Arabidopsis thaliana: one gene and its partners. The main gene of each other region encodes a partner of the protein of the gene in region 3 in a complex. Each region holds a gene or a part of one and is shown on either strand. Other genes may lie near its edges.

Region 1 (5,755 bases), on a different chromosome or scaffold from region 3:
GAAGATTCCATCTTTATCATCATAGTAACCAGCAGAAGCAGAAACAACAGATGTCAAACCATTGCAACATGATTATCATCAATATCTCCGAACTCTTGGTCTTTTTGTATATCTAACTCGATAGCTATAACGTGGTTTGATGATTTACCGTTGGTTGTTTCATTGAATAATCCGAGGTACTGATCGGAGGAAGCTCCTGGAAGGCCTGCTGTAGGAGAGATAACGAAAGACATGCCATGTGAACCGGACTGTGTATGCTCAGGTACTATTCCAAAGAGGAAGTGGAAGCTGAAAGACGAATCTTTTATGGGAATGGATTCGTTGTTGAAAGTTTGACCGCAGGAATGCTTCTTGGTGTTCGTTAAAATGGTGTCACCAATGGAGTTGTCAGCTGCAGAGCCCTCCAGGGTCCAGTTTCCATTGGAGTTGTAAGTAGATGAAGACAGAGTATAGAGCAGAACAAGAACTATATGCAAGACTTTGAGTTCACTAGGCATGTTAGGATTTTTTTTGTTTTTGCTTATGGGAAGAAATTGATCATATGAGATATTTTTATCATCTCATTGAGAGTTAAGTAAGAGTATAAAAGAATTCCAAACTGCAAAAGTAGGGTCGAACAAAATGGAAACGAACGTTCACATGGATTTCCGCGTTGTTCATATTAAAAATTTATGTATTTACACACACATGGGGCCTAAACCAAGTCGTAAAGCAATTAAGATAATAATCTTCCAATCTTCATTGGATTCAAAGCAATTATCGTGGGATTGGTAGAGCGTGTCCTAATCCTAATATTAACCGCTGACTCTCTGAGCATTAGAAAATATATGGATCAAAATTTCAAAAAGACGGGATTTTTCTATGATCTTAAAACTGTGTGAAAACTGGAAAACATCAAAAAGTACTTTAAAAGCAATAATCGAACAAAGTAAGTTTCACATCCAAAGTTTTGACCACAAAATTTGTATTAAAAATAAGTTTTTGACATGTTTTAGAGTTAGATTCTGATTTTATTTTTTTCTATTGGTCTACATGAAAAAGTAAAGTTATATCACTAACCTATCATCGTTGATCATTATATATGAAAATACTCATGAAAGTTAATATTTTTTAGGTTAACAAGAAAAACAAACAAGGGATCAATCATCTTGTTCAATTCAATATAATTAAGCATTGGGATTTCCAACAGAAAATGTTGAGTAAAACATAGACTAGTGTTGGATATCCAAAATAGAACTCAAACCACATTCACTAATGCCTTATTGATAAAAATAAATTGCTTAGCACTCAGACTGTAATTATGGGAGAAAGAGCTTTGCAGAAGTAGACCAAGTTGCTAATGTTCATACCTCAGGCTGCATTTTCTCCACCTCTTCCCGGATAGACTGGAACAGCGGGGTCGATAGATATCTCTCCCCGAAGCTCGGGAAAACAACCTGAAAAACCGCATTCATAGATTCATTAACAGTTACCTACTTAGAAGATTTAACAATCTAACTAGCCAAGTGACTATATTGTTGATTCTTTGGTTTAGTATTGGATCACAGACTCGGGAGACTTTAATAATCCTCAAATCTATCTTAAGATGAAATCTAAAGCAATCCATCTATATGTTGCACAAAGACCCCTTGCACCACCTTTTTGTTTTCAAGACATAACACATAACTGAAACCGAAAAGACTTACAGCTATGAGTTTTCCAGCATTCTCAGGTCTCTTAGCCACCTTGATTGCAGCAGCAGCTGCAGCTCCAGATGATATACCAACCTGACAAGATTATTACATTCACGTAAGAATCTTGTGTAATTTCCACCTTTCACATGCAACATGACACCACAACATCCGTGTGGTTCCCACTCAGAAATCATAAATACTGCAAAGAACTAACCATCAAGCCTTCCTTAAGAGCTAGTTGCTTTGCGGTTTCTATAGCTTCCTCACTTGAAATCTGGTAAACGCAAAAAGAAGATAGTAATTGATGAAGTTTGAGTCTCAGGAATTGGAAAATTTAAGCAATAAATTGACACAAGAATTGTGGATGTTTTGTGGAAACCAGATAAATTGTATAACCATACAGAATCCAACAAAATAAATCATACCGCTATGACTTCATCCATAATTTTCTGATCCAAATTCTTAGGTATAAATCCAGCTCCAATTCCTTGAATCTTGTGAGGTCCTGTATAAATGCAAGAGAAAGCAAAATACGTGAATATAAGATCATATTTCGAAATCATGGAAACAAAATTACTGATTGATATCTATTGGCAAGCCTTACCCGGTTTGCCACCAGAAAGTATATCGCTTTCGGTGGGTTCTACACCAATAACCTGGTACATGTAAACATCGAATAGTTAACTACGAATTATATTGCTTGAATGAACATACAATACTGTCTAAATAACACCTGAAAATGTACTCCAGCTAAGAATGAAACCATTGAACTTTTGCATCTACCTGCGTTTTGGGATTTTTCTCTTTAATAAATCGACCAACACCAGTGATAGTTCCACCAGTTCCAATTCCTGCAACAAAGATATCCACCTTGCCCTTTGTATCATCCCAGATCTCAGGACCAGTAGTCTCGTAATGAATCTGCGTATATTCAAACTTGAGTTTACAAACGTGACAAGAGAACCTCACAGAAGATCATGCCGATTTCAAAGGATCAGCCACTTCCCAATTTGCTTGTACAGTTTAAGTGAAAACCACTTCAGTTACACACTTGTGGGCATTCTCTAAATACAGATGAGTTTCTGGTTAACTCTAACTTAACATTTCATTTCTCTTCTTATGGTACATGACTAGAGCAAAAACCAAATCATGACACAAATAAGGAAAAATATAAACCACAAACCTTTGGATTTGCAGGGTTGTCAAACTGTTGGAGCATGTATGCATCAGGAGTGTTTTTCAAGATCTCTTCAGCCTTCTGAACCGCTCCAGTCATGCCTTTAGCAGGATCTGTTAATACAAGCTCAGCTCCAAATGCCTTTAAAAGAACCCTTCTTTCCATACTCATGGATGCTGGCATTGTCAAGATAAGTCTATAGCCCCTTGAAGCAGCGATGAATGCTAGGCCAATACCCGTGTTTCCACTTGTAGGTTCCACAAGAACACTCTAGATCAATGCAGTAAGGACATGATTAACCACCAGAAATAACAGACTATAGATTGTACAACTTTATGTGTGTAAAAGCTGGTCTCATCCATTAAACTTTACAAAAGACTGATCAATCTATAATCGATACCTTTCCAGGTGATATAAATCCTTTTTGCTCAGCATCAGTAACCATACTGTACCCAATCCTGAATCCGTGAAACATAAAAGTTAGGACTTGAAGGGACTCAACTAAAAACATACAAACAAGCCACAAAAGACTTAAGCTACAGACCTATCCTTGACACTGCAACATGGCTCCATGATCTCGAGTTTGGCAGCAATATTTGCTACACAACCTTTTGCTATACTGTTCAAGTACACCATAGGAGTTTTCCCAATGAGCTGAATCAAGCCAAGAACAATGAGAGATACGTAAGTAAATTCTGAACTATTTAAAAAGCTAATCAAGTTTCAAATTTTAATGGACAATCACACTTTCGCCAACATTCCCATTAGAGGAAAGCTCAAAAATTTGATCACCAATTTCAATTTCAAATCTAACCTGAGACACATTGTCAGCGATGTTGAGTCCATCAGGTCCAGTCTCGCGCTTAACAGCCTCACACACAACAGACGGATCTCGTTCCGAACCATCAGCAAAACTCCGACTCTGCCTCTTCATCGCTAGAGAGAAATCAGAAGCGGAGGAGAAGGAGAGAGAAGAGATCTCTGGCGAGCATCTGAAACGACGGAGAGTAGAAGAAGAAGAAGAAGAAGTCAACGGATTAAGAAGTAAAGCAGAGGAAGATGTGGCGGCCATGGATGTGTAGCAGCTTCGGTTTCCCAAAAGTGTAGACAAGATTTGAGATGCGAGCTTAGCTTCCCGGTTAAACCTTGAAGCCATGATCATCGCCACCATGATCCTACTTTTCTATTTTCTTGGAATACGACGTCGATTGGATTTTCAGATACGGTCCATTTTTAGACCAAGCTTTCAACTTTATATTAAGTTTCATTTTTATATTTTATACATTTTTTTTTTAATCACCAACCAAGTGAAGTGCACTGACCAAAAGCGAACGTGGAGAATGTGTTCTTATTCGTACCTTCATACCTCTCAAGTGTTGCATGAATCTTTCTGGTTAACTTTTTTTTTTTTAATGTCAAATTCATCGTCTTGGATCCGTTGCCGTTAGATATTCTTGTTCTTGAATTTGACATTGTTTGGTTTTGGTTTGGTCAACAAGGAAATAGTCAGTAACAAAGGAACCAAAAGCTTCTGAGAAAATGTAACTTGAAAAGATTCTTCTTCTTAAATTTGACATTATTTGGTTTTGGTTTGTTCGATAAGGAATCAGCTCATCTTAAGCCCGTATAACTGAGTCAAACAATGGTAGGCGGTAGCAATTAGCCAATTAGGGTTGTCTTAATCCGAGCTACATAAACTCTAACAAAAGCGTTCCAACACTCAAAAAAAAAAAATGTAAAACACCTGAACAAACACATTCACCGTTAAATTTGCACAAAGACAAAAATGGGCCTTAGAGCCGACACTAAAAAGGCCGTTAAGCAATGAATAGCCACATTAATCGTTCCACGCGCATTATTCTCACGGAAATATGCCGTTGTTGTACCTTTTTTTTTTTCTTTCTCGATATTTTCGTCCATTAGTAAGTATCTTCTAAGACTTCTACATCAATAGAACATTAAATTATGATCAATTACTATTTTATTGGGTAACGAGTAACCACATCAATAGAATCTGATTTCTTAACCATTCGAAGTACAAACTGTAAAAGTCTGAGAAAATTGGTTGTTTTTCGTTTGTAGTTATGCAATTTTAAGTAATGTCTGTAAAATACAAAAATTTTGTTATACAATTTTGATATATATATTATGTAAGAGTTTCATGAAATTTATGCGTCAAATTCACTTAAAAAACTATATACCAAAAGTCTTACCATTTTACATTTACTCTATATATTCAATAAAAATATAATTTAAAAGGTATAGAGACAAAAACAACACAGAGAATTCACTTGCAAACAACAAGTGCTTAAACTTTATTTTTATTGATAATAAACTCTTTAACAAGTATTATCTCGGAACTTACTTGACATATTCTACCTGAATGAACAACCCCGACTAAGGAGAATTAAGTTTAATGAACAACCCCTGAATGAACAACCCCGACATTTTCTACCTGAATGAATAATTAAGCCTAATTGTCCTCTATTTCTTATCAGCCGCCCGTGAAGACAAAAAGAACTAACACTAAGAACAATTAAGAATAATTAAGCCTAATTATTCAACTCGACTAAGAACAACCCCGACTAATGCTTTGAAGTTTACAAATTGTACAATGCTTAAAGCCTCTAGAAGCCTAAACCCTAAGATCTCCAAGGGTCTTTGATATCCAACAACTTCCTGAAATCCAACACGTCGGCATCAGCTGGTTGAAATTTGCAACTTCATAATTCATGAATGCATTTTACTCATATTGTTTTTAATCACATTTTTGCTCTAGAATACTTATTACCCGAGAACGCATTTCGTTTATTTTTCGACTATTCAATATGATTTGACGAAACTAAAAAGTGATATAATGTTTGAGTATTCGACTGTTTTTGGCTAAACTAAAATGTGGTTTACA
Region 2 (5,113 bases), on a different chromosome or scaffold from region 3:
ATTTCCGGTTTACACTGAGATAAGAACTATGACGACGAGTAATCTGAGGAAATCGGCGTGTTTTGTGGCTAAGGCTATAGAACAGAGACGAGATACAGCTGGATCTGAATCGGAATCAGAAGCGACTCCGTCACCGGCGGAAGAGAGTGGAAGCGGAGAAGATAAGGAAGTGGAGATTAGCGCGATAGGAGCAGAGATAAAAGCAGCGATGGAGCAGAGGAAAACGGCGGAGGAAGAGAAAGGGAAGAACGAGTTTCTTAGTGGAGTTGCGGAGGAAGTGAAGGAGATTGAGTGGCCGGCGTTTCAGAAAGTTCTCGGAACTACCGGCGTCGTGCTCGGTGTTATCGCTGGCTCTAGCGTCGTCTTGCTCACTGTCAATTTCCTTTTGGCTGAACTCTCTGATCGAGTGTTCATCGGAAGAGGTGTTCAAGACTTCTTCAGCTGATCCTGTGAATTGAAAATGGTAAAATTTGTGTGTACAATTTTTAGTGATTGCAATGAGAAATCGAAACATTGTTGATTTGTGTAGATGATGATAAAGAGAATTATCGGAATCACTCCTTTTGAGCATTACCTTCTTCTTATCCTAATCTTATATTTAGCCTGAAATATTGACTTGGGTTATGTTGGTTTAGTTTTGATCATGAAACAGTATGATACTTATGAACAAAGTTACATAGCAAATTTAAACTTCATTAACAAGCAAGTGGTTCACAAAAGAAACAGAGAAAATCTAGTTTGACTTTTATTGGCACACAAGAGAAGATACAGATGGAAGCAAAGACGCAATGTAACTAAAGATGAAGAGTCTCTATAGGAGAAACTGAACATCTCTTTTATTTTGGCGTCTCTTAAGAAGAAATGGAGAATGTTCAAGCCTCGAAGGTCATGGCTTCCGCTTCTTTCCTTGTCGCATCGAAAAGTACCGTTGATAGATACCTCTCCCCGAAACTCGGGAATATCGCCTGTAAAATAATTCAGTTGATTTCGTTTACATCAGAATCAGAAAGAAATCCGGGTTATGTAATCAGAGCTTATTGGCTTTGGGGTGATGATAGAATCAAAGAGCTTACCACAAATAGCTTCCCAGCGTTTTCTGGCCTCTGTGCAAGTTTAATTGCTGCAGCAGCTGCTGCACCGGATGATATTCCCACCTACAGTATAGCTTTTGTTTTTAGAAACAGAACGAAGTTGTAATTCTGATGGAGATAGCTTTTTGTTGTGAAATGTGAAACACTTACAAGAAGACCTTCTTTAAGAGCAAGCTGCCTTGCCATGTCAATGGATTCATCACTTGAAACCTGTTGAAAGCGTTACAGGAAAATGGAGAGAGTCAAGTAAGAAATGAAGCTCTCTTGCATTCAATTGTGTTTTGCTATCAGTCGATAATATCGAAAAGCAGTCTTACCTGAACAACTTCGTCAATAAGATCAACATTCAATACACTTGGTATAAAACCAGCTCCTATCCCTTGAATCTTGTGAGGACCTTGATATTTTCAGCAAACATCATGTGTTAGGAAACTCCGAGGATAAAAAATAAGACATGAGGCAAACCGAGAAACGAGGAACATGCATGCATGGTTATCGTAATAAACGCAGGGGGAACCAAAATCACCTGGCTTCCCACCGGATAGAATAGCACTTTCAACTGGCTCCACTCCATACAGCTAACAGAAGAGGAAACAAAATGAGAAACCGTGCAAAGACACACCACTTAGTCACTTAGATAACAAAGCCAGTTGTTCGAAAAGATGGAGCTCTCACCTTGACGTTTGCGTTCTGTTCTTTAAGATACTTCCCAGCACCTGTAATGGTACCACCAGTACCAATCCCAGAAACAAAGCCATCGATTTTGCCACCAGTGCCTTTCCATATCTCAGGTCCCGTAGTCTCATAGTGGATCTGCATTTGACAGTGAAATTCCATCGACTTAATATGGTTCAAAAACAGACAAAAACAGATACACTAAAGCAATAGTAAATAATAAGCATACCTTAGGGTTGGCAGGGTTCTCAAACTGCTGAAGCATGTAACCATTGGGTGTTTTCGCCAAAATCTCTTCCGCCTTTGCGATAGCTCCTTTCATGCCCTTAGCTGGGTCAGTTAAAACCAACTCAACTCCAAAAGCTAAGAGAATGATTCTTCTCTCAGTACTCATAGAAGCTGGCATTGTAATAATAAGCTTGTAGCCTTTGGCAGCTGCCGTGAATGCTAACCCAACTCCAGTGTTTCCACTTGTTGGCTCAATCAGCACACTCTAAAGAACAAACAAAAAGTCAGAAACAATGAAAACAAAAACAAAATAGTGGTTTGAAGATTCAGATAATCGAAACTGACCTCTCCTGGTTTGATAAGACCCTTCTTTTCTGCATCAGAAATCATGCTAAAACCAATCCTGCAGAAATAAACAAAGTACAAGGTCTTCACAAAACCGAAACTCGAAGCGAGAAACAACACATAGTTTCTGGACTAGAGAAGAAACCTGTCTTTGACGCTAGAGCACGGTTCCATCATCTCAAGCTTAGCAGCAACACGACCAACACATCCTTCAGCAACATTGTTCAAATACACCAATGGAGTGTTCCCAATCAACTGCCAAATAGAATCAATCAATACATGAACATGGAACAAAGCTCACTCCTTCGTGAAATGAACAGTGAAAGAACTTGAAAGCCTTACTTCAGTCACATCTTTAGCAATTCTCGAGGCCATGATTCAAGCTTCACTGCTTAAATTCACAAAAAGAGAAAAGTAAGACCAAAGGAATAAATCATCCTCAAACCAAAAACACATCATACAAAATCATCAAACATAAATCTCCAGATGTATGAGCACCAATCCAGTTATACAACACTCTTAACACCAAATCAACAGATTTAACAGCGAAATAAGCTTAAGCCCATACAATTATCCGATCCAAACAAATATAATCGAAACCGGCAGAGGAATAAGCAAGTGAATCAAAAAGTATGGGACGAGGAAGAAGATGATACCTGAATGAGAAAGTCAATAACCTTGACCCGAATCGTTTTGAAGAAAATGGAGAAAATCGGTTGTATGGAATAAAATCTTCGAATGATGAGATATATGATCTCTTTGGTGTCAGTCACATGGCACACGCTATCAATTTAGAAAAACGCGGTGGTTGGTCACCAGAATTACTACTTCTCGGTCTGATTTGGTCATATCCGTATTAAGTCCGGTTAATATTTTCCATAACTGGGGTTTGAACATTCGGTTTCTTTTTTTCAGTTAGTCCGATTTGGAGTTTTGAGTATGGAAAAATAATACTGAATTTATTTGTTCAAACTGTTTTGGAAAAAATATTTCCCTTAATTACGAATATAATTAAAATTTTAAAATTCATTTTATTAGATCTTGGTTAATTCGGTTTAATGCATTAATGAATTTCGGTTTAAGTCGGTTTTCGGTTTTTATGTCCCACCACTATCTACAACCGATGATCAACCTTATCTCCGTATTCACCACAAACAGTCATCACTCTCACTTGACACAAAAACTCTTTTGTCTCCGTCTCTCTGTCTCTCATGGCGACTCTTCCTCTCCCGACTCAAACTTCTACAATCTCTCTCCCTAAACCTTATCTCTCCAATTCCTTCTCCTTCCCACTCCGTAACGCAACACTCTCAACAACAACAAACCGCCGGAACTTTCTCACCACCGGAAGGATCATAGCTCGGGCATATAAAGTGGTGGTAGAGCACGACGGAAAGACGACTGAATTGGAAGTCGAACCAGACGAGACGATTCTATCTAAGGCTCTTGACTCTGGCCTTGACGTTCCCTACGACTGCAATCTCGGTGTTTGTATGACTTGTCCAGCGAAACTCGTGACCGGAACGGTGGATCAAAGTGGTGGGATGCTAAGTGATGATGTGGTTGAACGTGGCTACACGCTTCTATGTGCTTCGTATCCAACTTCTGATTGTCACATTAAGATGATCCCTGAGGAAGAACTCTTGTCTCTCCAGCTCGCCACTGCCAACGACTAATCATCTTCTTGATTTAGACTAAAGAAGTCTTTTTTTTGGTGTAATACGAACACTTTGTAACGAATCTTGCTATGAGACTTCGAAATCTTGATTTCAATGAGCCAATACAAACAGTGATACATAACATAATCACAGTGAAACATTCCTGGTTTAAGATGAATCTATTAAGTACTGAACTAAATTCGTTGATTGAAACATTAGGAAAGTGAATAGATATGTATAATTTAGATTAATAAACACACAAGGGTAGACTAATTCAGAACCAGAAAGAGTGAGAGTGTTAGCTACAAATGATACGATATAAAAAAAGAGAGATTACAACAAAAACGAGGTAGAGACAAAACGTAGACACCAGAGATCAGTGGTTGGTTACTTACCATCTTCTTTTTTCCTTTGTCATTGTCTAATCAGTAGTAAGCATGCTGAATATGGTGGTGGTGGTGCGGGTGAGGATGGTAAACTGGAGGGGGTGGAGCAGCCACCGGACTGCAGTAGGTACCATATGCTGTCGGATAACTGACCGGAGAGGTTTGGTAAGAACCATGAACCGCCTCGGGTGAGTATTGGTATGGAGGGCTCCTGTTGCTGTAGATGGTAGGTGGGGATGTGGTGTATGCTGGTACACCGTATTGAGGTGAGTGACTTTGGGATCTGATGAATGTTGGTGGAGGCGGTGGGAAAGAGGAGACGTAAGCGTTTGTGATACGCCCTGCTTTGGCTGGTGGCATTGGACCGCTGTAGCTTGCTCGGGTTCTCTTGTTGGCGGGAATCACGGCTGGTTTTCTCTTCTCGGTTTTGGTCTTCTCTAGCTGATCCAACCTCTTCTTGAGATTCTCGGGTGGGAATTCTTCCTCGAGTTTGTATTCTTCTATGCATTTTAAGACTGCTCTAAGTGCTGATTGCTCTTTGCGCGCCACAAGATGCTAGAAAAATACACACATACATTGGTAAGCGAGTGCAGAAGAAACAGATCCCTGCAAATGGATCCAGCAAAGAAAACGAGTAACACAAATGGAGGAAAGTACCGCAGATCGGCCAGAATTGTTGGAATCATCAGTGATTAAAGCTGTAGCTTTCTTTGCATCCCTCAGATAAGCT
Region 3 (4,106 bases):
GGATATAGAGCTATACATTGGAGATGATCTTTATATAGAGAAGGAAGAGATCTAAGTTTCCTAAACTAAAATAAACATATATGTAAATAATATTTTTAGAGATAATATTAAACTTCCTAAACTCTAATATTAACATTTATTAATATTCTTCCAAATTCTTCTAGAATCATATCTTTTTGCCATATCTTGGCTTTGTGATCTCGGTCGATTTTCGGTTCTCTATATTCCAATGGACTCTTTATAATCTCTGTTTCTTTTTTTTAGTTTTTTTTTTTCCTGTGAAACTAATGTTTCTTCTGATTTAGCGATGGTTGATTGTAAGAAAAAACTAGGGTTTTGAATAAGTTTAGAACAAATGAAAACTTCTCTCTATGTTTGAGTTTTATAAGCGACTTTCTTTATTAGAGAAGAAATATCAAAAGTCATTTGCATTGGGAAATGAAAACACTTTAATTACGAAACCAGAACGTCATCAATACTATAGTAATGATGCTTTGTTCTGCCTCGTCCTTTAGTCTTCTTTCTAGTTTACGATGACTCATAATTACTTCTTCTGTGAGATTTTCCCATTTCTCCACCTTCCACGACTCCGGCGACGAAAGTAACCATTAGAAAACTATTGTTGGCGTGAGTTGGTTATACATGGCCCATTTAACAGTCCACTTTAAGGCCCAATTCACAATCCATGTTATTAACAAATATATTAATCCATAAAAGTGTACACATTCTTGATTCGCCTCGAGATAAACTAATCTCTAGTTTCTTCTTAAAGATCGATGAGCTTGATTTCAAGACTTGTTTGATTAGTACATAGTAAAATATTAAGAAATAGACAAGACTTGTTTCATCATCATCAGTTACAAGAAAGAAAGAAATACACATTTGTGTTAAATCACATAATCAGACCACTCGGTTAAATACGATGTCTGGTCCATAGTCAGACAAGGAATCTTATCATGTTTTCTCGGATTCTCTTTCCCACCAATCAACCTCGCCGGATTTCCAACCGCCGTCGTACGCGCCGGCACATCCTTAACCACCACCGACCCTGATCCAATCTTAGCTCCCTCACCGATTGTTATATTCCCCAATATACAACTCCCAGCTCCAATCAACACACCATCACCAATCTTCGGATGCCGATCACCACTCTGTTTCCCTGTTCCTCCCAAGGTCACTCCGTGTAGAATCGAAACATTGTCTCCAACCACCGCCGTCTCTCCGATCACCACGCCCGTCGCATGGTCTAAAAGAATCCCTTTTCCGATCTTCGCTCCGGGATGAATATCGACGGCGAAAGATTCTGATACTCTGTTTTGGATCAATAAAGCTACGATTTTTCTGTTCTGTTTCCAGAGGGTATGAGCTATTCGATGAGCTTGACAAGCGAGGAAGCCTTTGAAGCCCAAGAAGCAATGAACGTAGCTTATACAAGCTGGGTCTCTTTCTTTGACTGCTATAAGATCTTGCTTCGTGGATTCGATGATCTCAGGGCTTTCTTCTAAAACGCTTATGAACAGTTCGAAGAGTGTGTTGCTTGGTAGGTTTAAATTGCTGAGCTTTACGGAGAGGATGTGAGCTAAAGCAGACTCTAAAGATCGATGAGATGTGATCGAAGCGTAGTAGTAGTTTGATAAAATGGGTTCTTGTTTAACATCGGATTTGGCTTCTTCAAGCATCTTGATCCAGACATCATCGTCATCTTCGATTTGGGTGTGGTGAATCTTCCGGTTTACAGAGAAACCGGGTCGAAAGAAATTCTTGATGCAACAGAACCGGGAATCATCGTCTTGGGTATTACCGGTTCGGCATGTGTCTATGCATGTTGCCATGGTTTATGATTTGGAAGAAGAAAGAGTTTGAGATAAAGAAGAGAAGAGAGAATGGTTGTTGAGTGAAGAAGATGAACATAGCTTATATACACAGAGAGAGATGGCGGCGACCTTTGACTCTGACCCAAAAAAATCTCAAAAAGTAATTACAGTTTAATTAGCGCTCTCTAAATATTTTATTCTTTAATTATACACATTTTTCTGCAGATTAAGGAGGTAATGAATTATATAGTAAGTGAGATTAATATATATTTTTTTCCATACACAATTTTATTTTGGAAATGGTTTTATGTTTTTAATTTTATGATTTATTGTCCAGACAATTACGATGTTTACAATTTTGTATTTATTTTTGCATGATTAGTCTGCTTATCTACACATATCTAAGGGTCATTAGCCATCACATGTTTTTAGTGCCACCAACTTTTTCATAACAATAACATCAACTACTTATTATCTAGCTATTTTGTATGATATGTAATATAATTTTTTTTTTTTTGTTGGGTTGTAGAATTTAGAAGGCACTTGTAGTAAAATGGTTATAATTTCCAAATAATGGGGGGAAAAACCAAGAAAATTGGATCTATTATTAAAGTTGCCAAAAGGAGGAGGTTTTCAAAAGGAGGAGGTTTTCAAAGAAAGGTGACGTTAGTAATGACGTAAGTCTAAAGTTACGTGAAGCAGTCGCCCTTTGACTTTAACTCCTTATTTTCAAGGTTGTCTGAATCTAATCATTTTTTCACACTTTAATAATCTAATGCTAATACATGATTAATTTATACATAATTTAACTTGGAACTTTTTTACTCATTAATAATTTGATAACTACGTACGTGTTATTGACTGTTAGTCATAATAGAGTGAGTTTAGTTTACTCTACACACTCCATTTGTGTATATCTTTTTTTCGCGTATGGAAATTGTGAAAGCTACATTATGGTTGAAGATATCTCTATTCAGTACTCAATACTCAATAATGAAACTTGTGTAACTTTTATGATAATCAAATTATTCAATTGGGCAACGTAGATTACGTGACATTGTCATTTGCCTAATATTGTCCTTTGTGCACACCTTTATGTTGATGGATGGATTCAAATAAATAAAATTATCCGTTTTTCTTACTGCAAATAAGTTATCTTATCTTAGTTGGAATTTTGGATGTTTTGAAATGAGAAAACAACAACAATAAAATTCAAAAATATTAAACTTTTTTTTTTAAATGGCAGTAGAATAGTGGTGTCCATTGTTTGAGGACCCAATCTTTCGTTATCATTGTCCCTTATTAGGGTTTCTTTCAATTTTCAACCAGTAGTCAAGTAGATTTGGCTCTTCAAAATCATGAAAACACAAAATACTATTCAGTTAGAGAATTCGATTTGGTTCACAAAGAATATATGAACTTTCCCTTTCGAGTTACACAATTTTTTGGTTTCTAAAATTTATATTGAAAAATGTCGAATATCTCTTAGAATAAATCATATGAATAAATTTTATCTATTTAGCTAAAATATAATTGTGATGTGTTGAAGAATGGAGAATGACATGATGAAGAATGGACACTGTGAAACGTCAGGACACACAAAAAAACAACACAAATAATAAGATTGGAAGAGGATACCAATAGACTGGAACTTTAGTAGCACAATAAGGAGCTAAGATTGAGCATGATGCTTAATGAGGTTAAGTATCTGCTTCCTTGAGTCCTCTATCAGATAAGGGGCACTCGATATGATCCTAAGCTTTTTGATTTGGTACCATCTGCTAACAAAAGCAAAAGCAAAAACATCACCTTTTATGAAACTGAATCGCTGTTGAACCTTAAACATCAATTGATAGACAAAGAGTTTGTCAAAAGATCTTCAGAACCATCCCATTTGATGCACACTATGATCAGAAACAACACATGCATATATACTTCAGACTGAAGATACTATCTACTTTAGGGAAACTCATATTCATCAACACTCTAATGCTTCAACAGGTTTTTTAAACCTGAAAGTAAAATAGCCTCACCATTGCCTAACAAAAAGAACAGTTTTATAAGTTTCACAATTCTAACAAGTCCTAGTGAAACATACGTAATCTATTTCAGGAGCGTGGACATTAACGCACATGATATTTGAACAATTCTTCATTTGTGTTATTGTAGCTTGTTTTAACAGCCACGAATCATGTCTGAATTGATTTAAGAAAGAGCTAGGTACCTGAATTCACACGCGCAGACACACACACACACAATGTATGTAAATGATTGTTCACAAGAGCAGACAAA

The links. Proteins that work in one complex are often made in the same cells at the same time.
Region 1: SERAT2;1 (region 3) and OASC share a complex: the UniProt entries of both Arabidopsis thaliana proteins name them as parts of the cysteine synthase complex.
Region 2: SERAT2;1 (region 3) and OASA1 share a complex: the UniProt entries of both Arabidopsis thaliana proteins name them as parts of the cysteine synthase complex.

The regions. Positions count from the first base shown.
Region 1 is NC_003074.8:22,071,325-22,077,079, forward strand, and holds OASC (O-acetylserine (thiol) lyase), read right to left. Parts: upstream 4,093-5,755; 5' UTR 4,022-4,092; coding exon 3,665-4,021; intron 3,505-3,664; coding exon 3,395-3,504; intron 3,309-3,394; coding exon 3,251-3,308; intron 3,121-3,250; coding exon 2,857-3,120; intron 2,595-2,856; coding exon 2,457-2,594; intron 2,330-2,456; coding exon 2,278-2,329; intron 2,179-2,277; coding exon 2,099-2,178; intron 1,948-2,098; coding exon 1,888-1,947; intron 1,767-1,887; coding exon 1,686-1,766; coding exon of another isoform or gene 1,673-1,685; intron 1,437-1,672; coding exon 1,350-1,436; coding exon of another isoform or gene 1,337-1,349; exon of another isoform or gene 940-1,336; intron 810-939; coding exon 795-809; 3' UTR 624-794; downstream 1-623. Other genes in the region: AT3G59750 (Concanavalin A-like lectin protein kinase family protein), read right to left, coding at 60-497. UniProt on the Arabidopsis thaliana protein: Acts as a cysteine synthase. Plays a role in the sulfide detoxification in mitochondria.
Region 2 is NC_003075.7:8,517,337-8,522,449, forward strand, and holds OASA1 (O-acetylserine (thiol) lyase (OAS-TL)), read right to left. Parts: upstream 3,261-5,113; 5' UTR 2,996-3,260; exon of another isoform or gene 2,801-2,995; intron 2,731-2,800; exon of another isoform or gene 2,728-2,730; 5' UTR 2,715-2,727; coding exon 2,682-2,714; intron 2,595-2,681; coding exon 2,485-2,594; intron 2,398-2,484; coding exon 2,340-2,397; intron 2,260-2,339; coding exon 1,996-2,259; intron 1,905-1,995; coding exon 1,767-1,904; intron 1,670-1,766; coding exon 1,618-1,669; intron 1,489-1,617; coding exon 1,409-1,488; intron 1,302-1,408; coding exon 1,242-1,301; intron 1,155-1,241; coding exon 1,074-1,154; intron 966-1,073; coding exon 873-965; 3' UTR 624-872; downstream 1-623. Other genes in the region: SECE1 (secE/sec61-gamma protein transport protein), read left to right, coding at 1-445; FdC1 (2Fe-2S ferredoxin-like superfamily protein), read left to right, coding at 3,551-4,015; AT4G14900 (FRIGIDA-like protein), read right to left, coding at 4,423-4,938, 5,041-5,113. UniProt on the Arabidopsis thaliana protein: Acts as a major cysteine synthase, probably involved in maintaining organic sulfur level.
Region 3 is NC_003070.9:20,910,104-20,914,209, reverse strand, and holds SERAT2;1 (serine acetyltransferase 2;1), read right to left. Parts: upstream 2,095-4,106; 5' UTR 2,049-2,094; coding exon of another isoform or gene 2,040-2,048; 5' UTR 1,975-2,039; coding exon of another isoform or gene 1,933-1,974; 5' UTR 1,833-1,932; coding exon 888-1,832; 3' UTR 645-887; downstream 1-644. Other genes in the region: AT1G55917 (uncharacterized protein), read left to right, coding at 1,933-1,974, 2,040-2,048, 2,152-2,162, 2,197-2,221, 2,344-2,370, 2,428-2,474, 3,061-3,085. UniProt on the Arabidopsis thaliana protein: Serine acetyltransferase which catalyzes the formation of O-acetyl-L-serine from acetyl-CoA and L-serine. Also displays O-acetylserine (thio1)-lyase activity in vitro. May be involved in detoxification process by mediating the production of glutathione.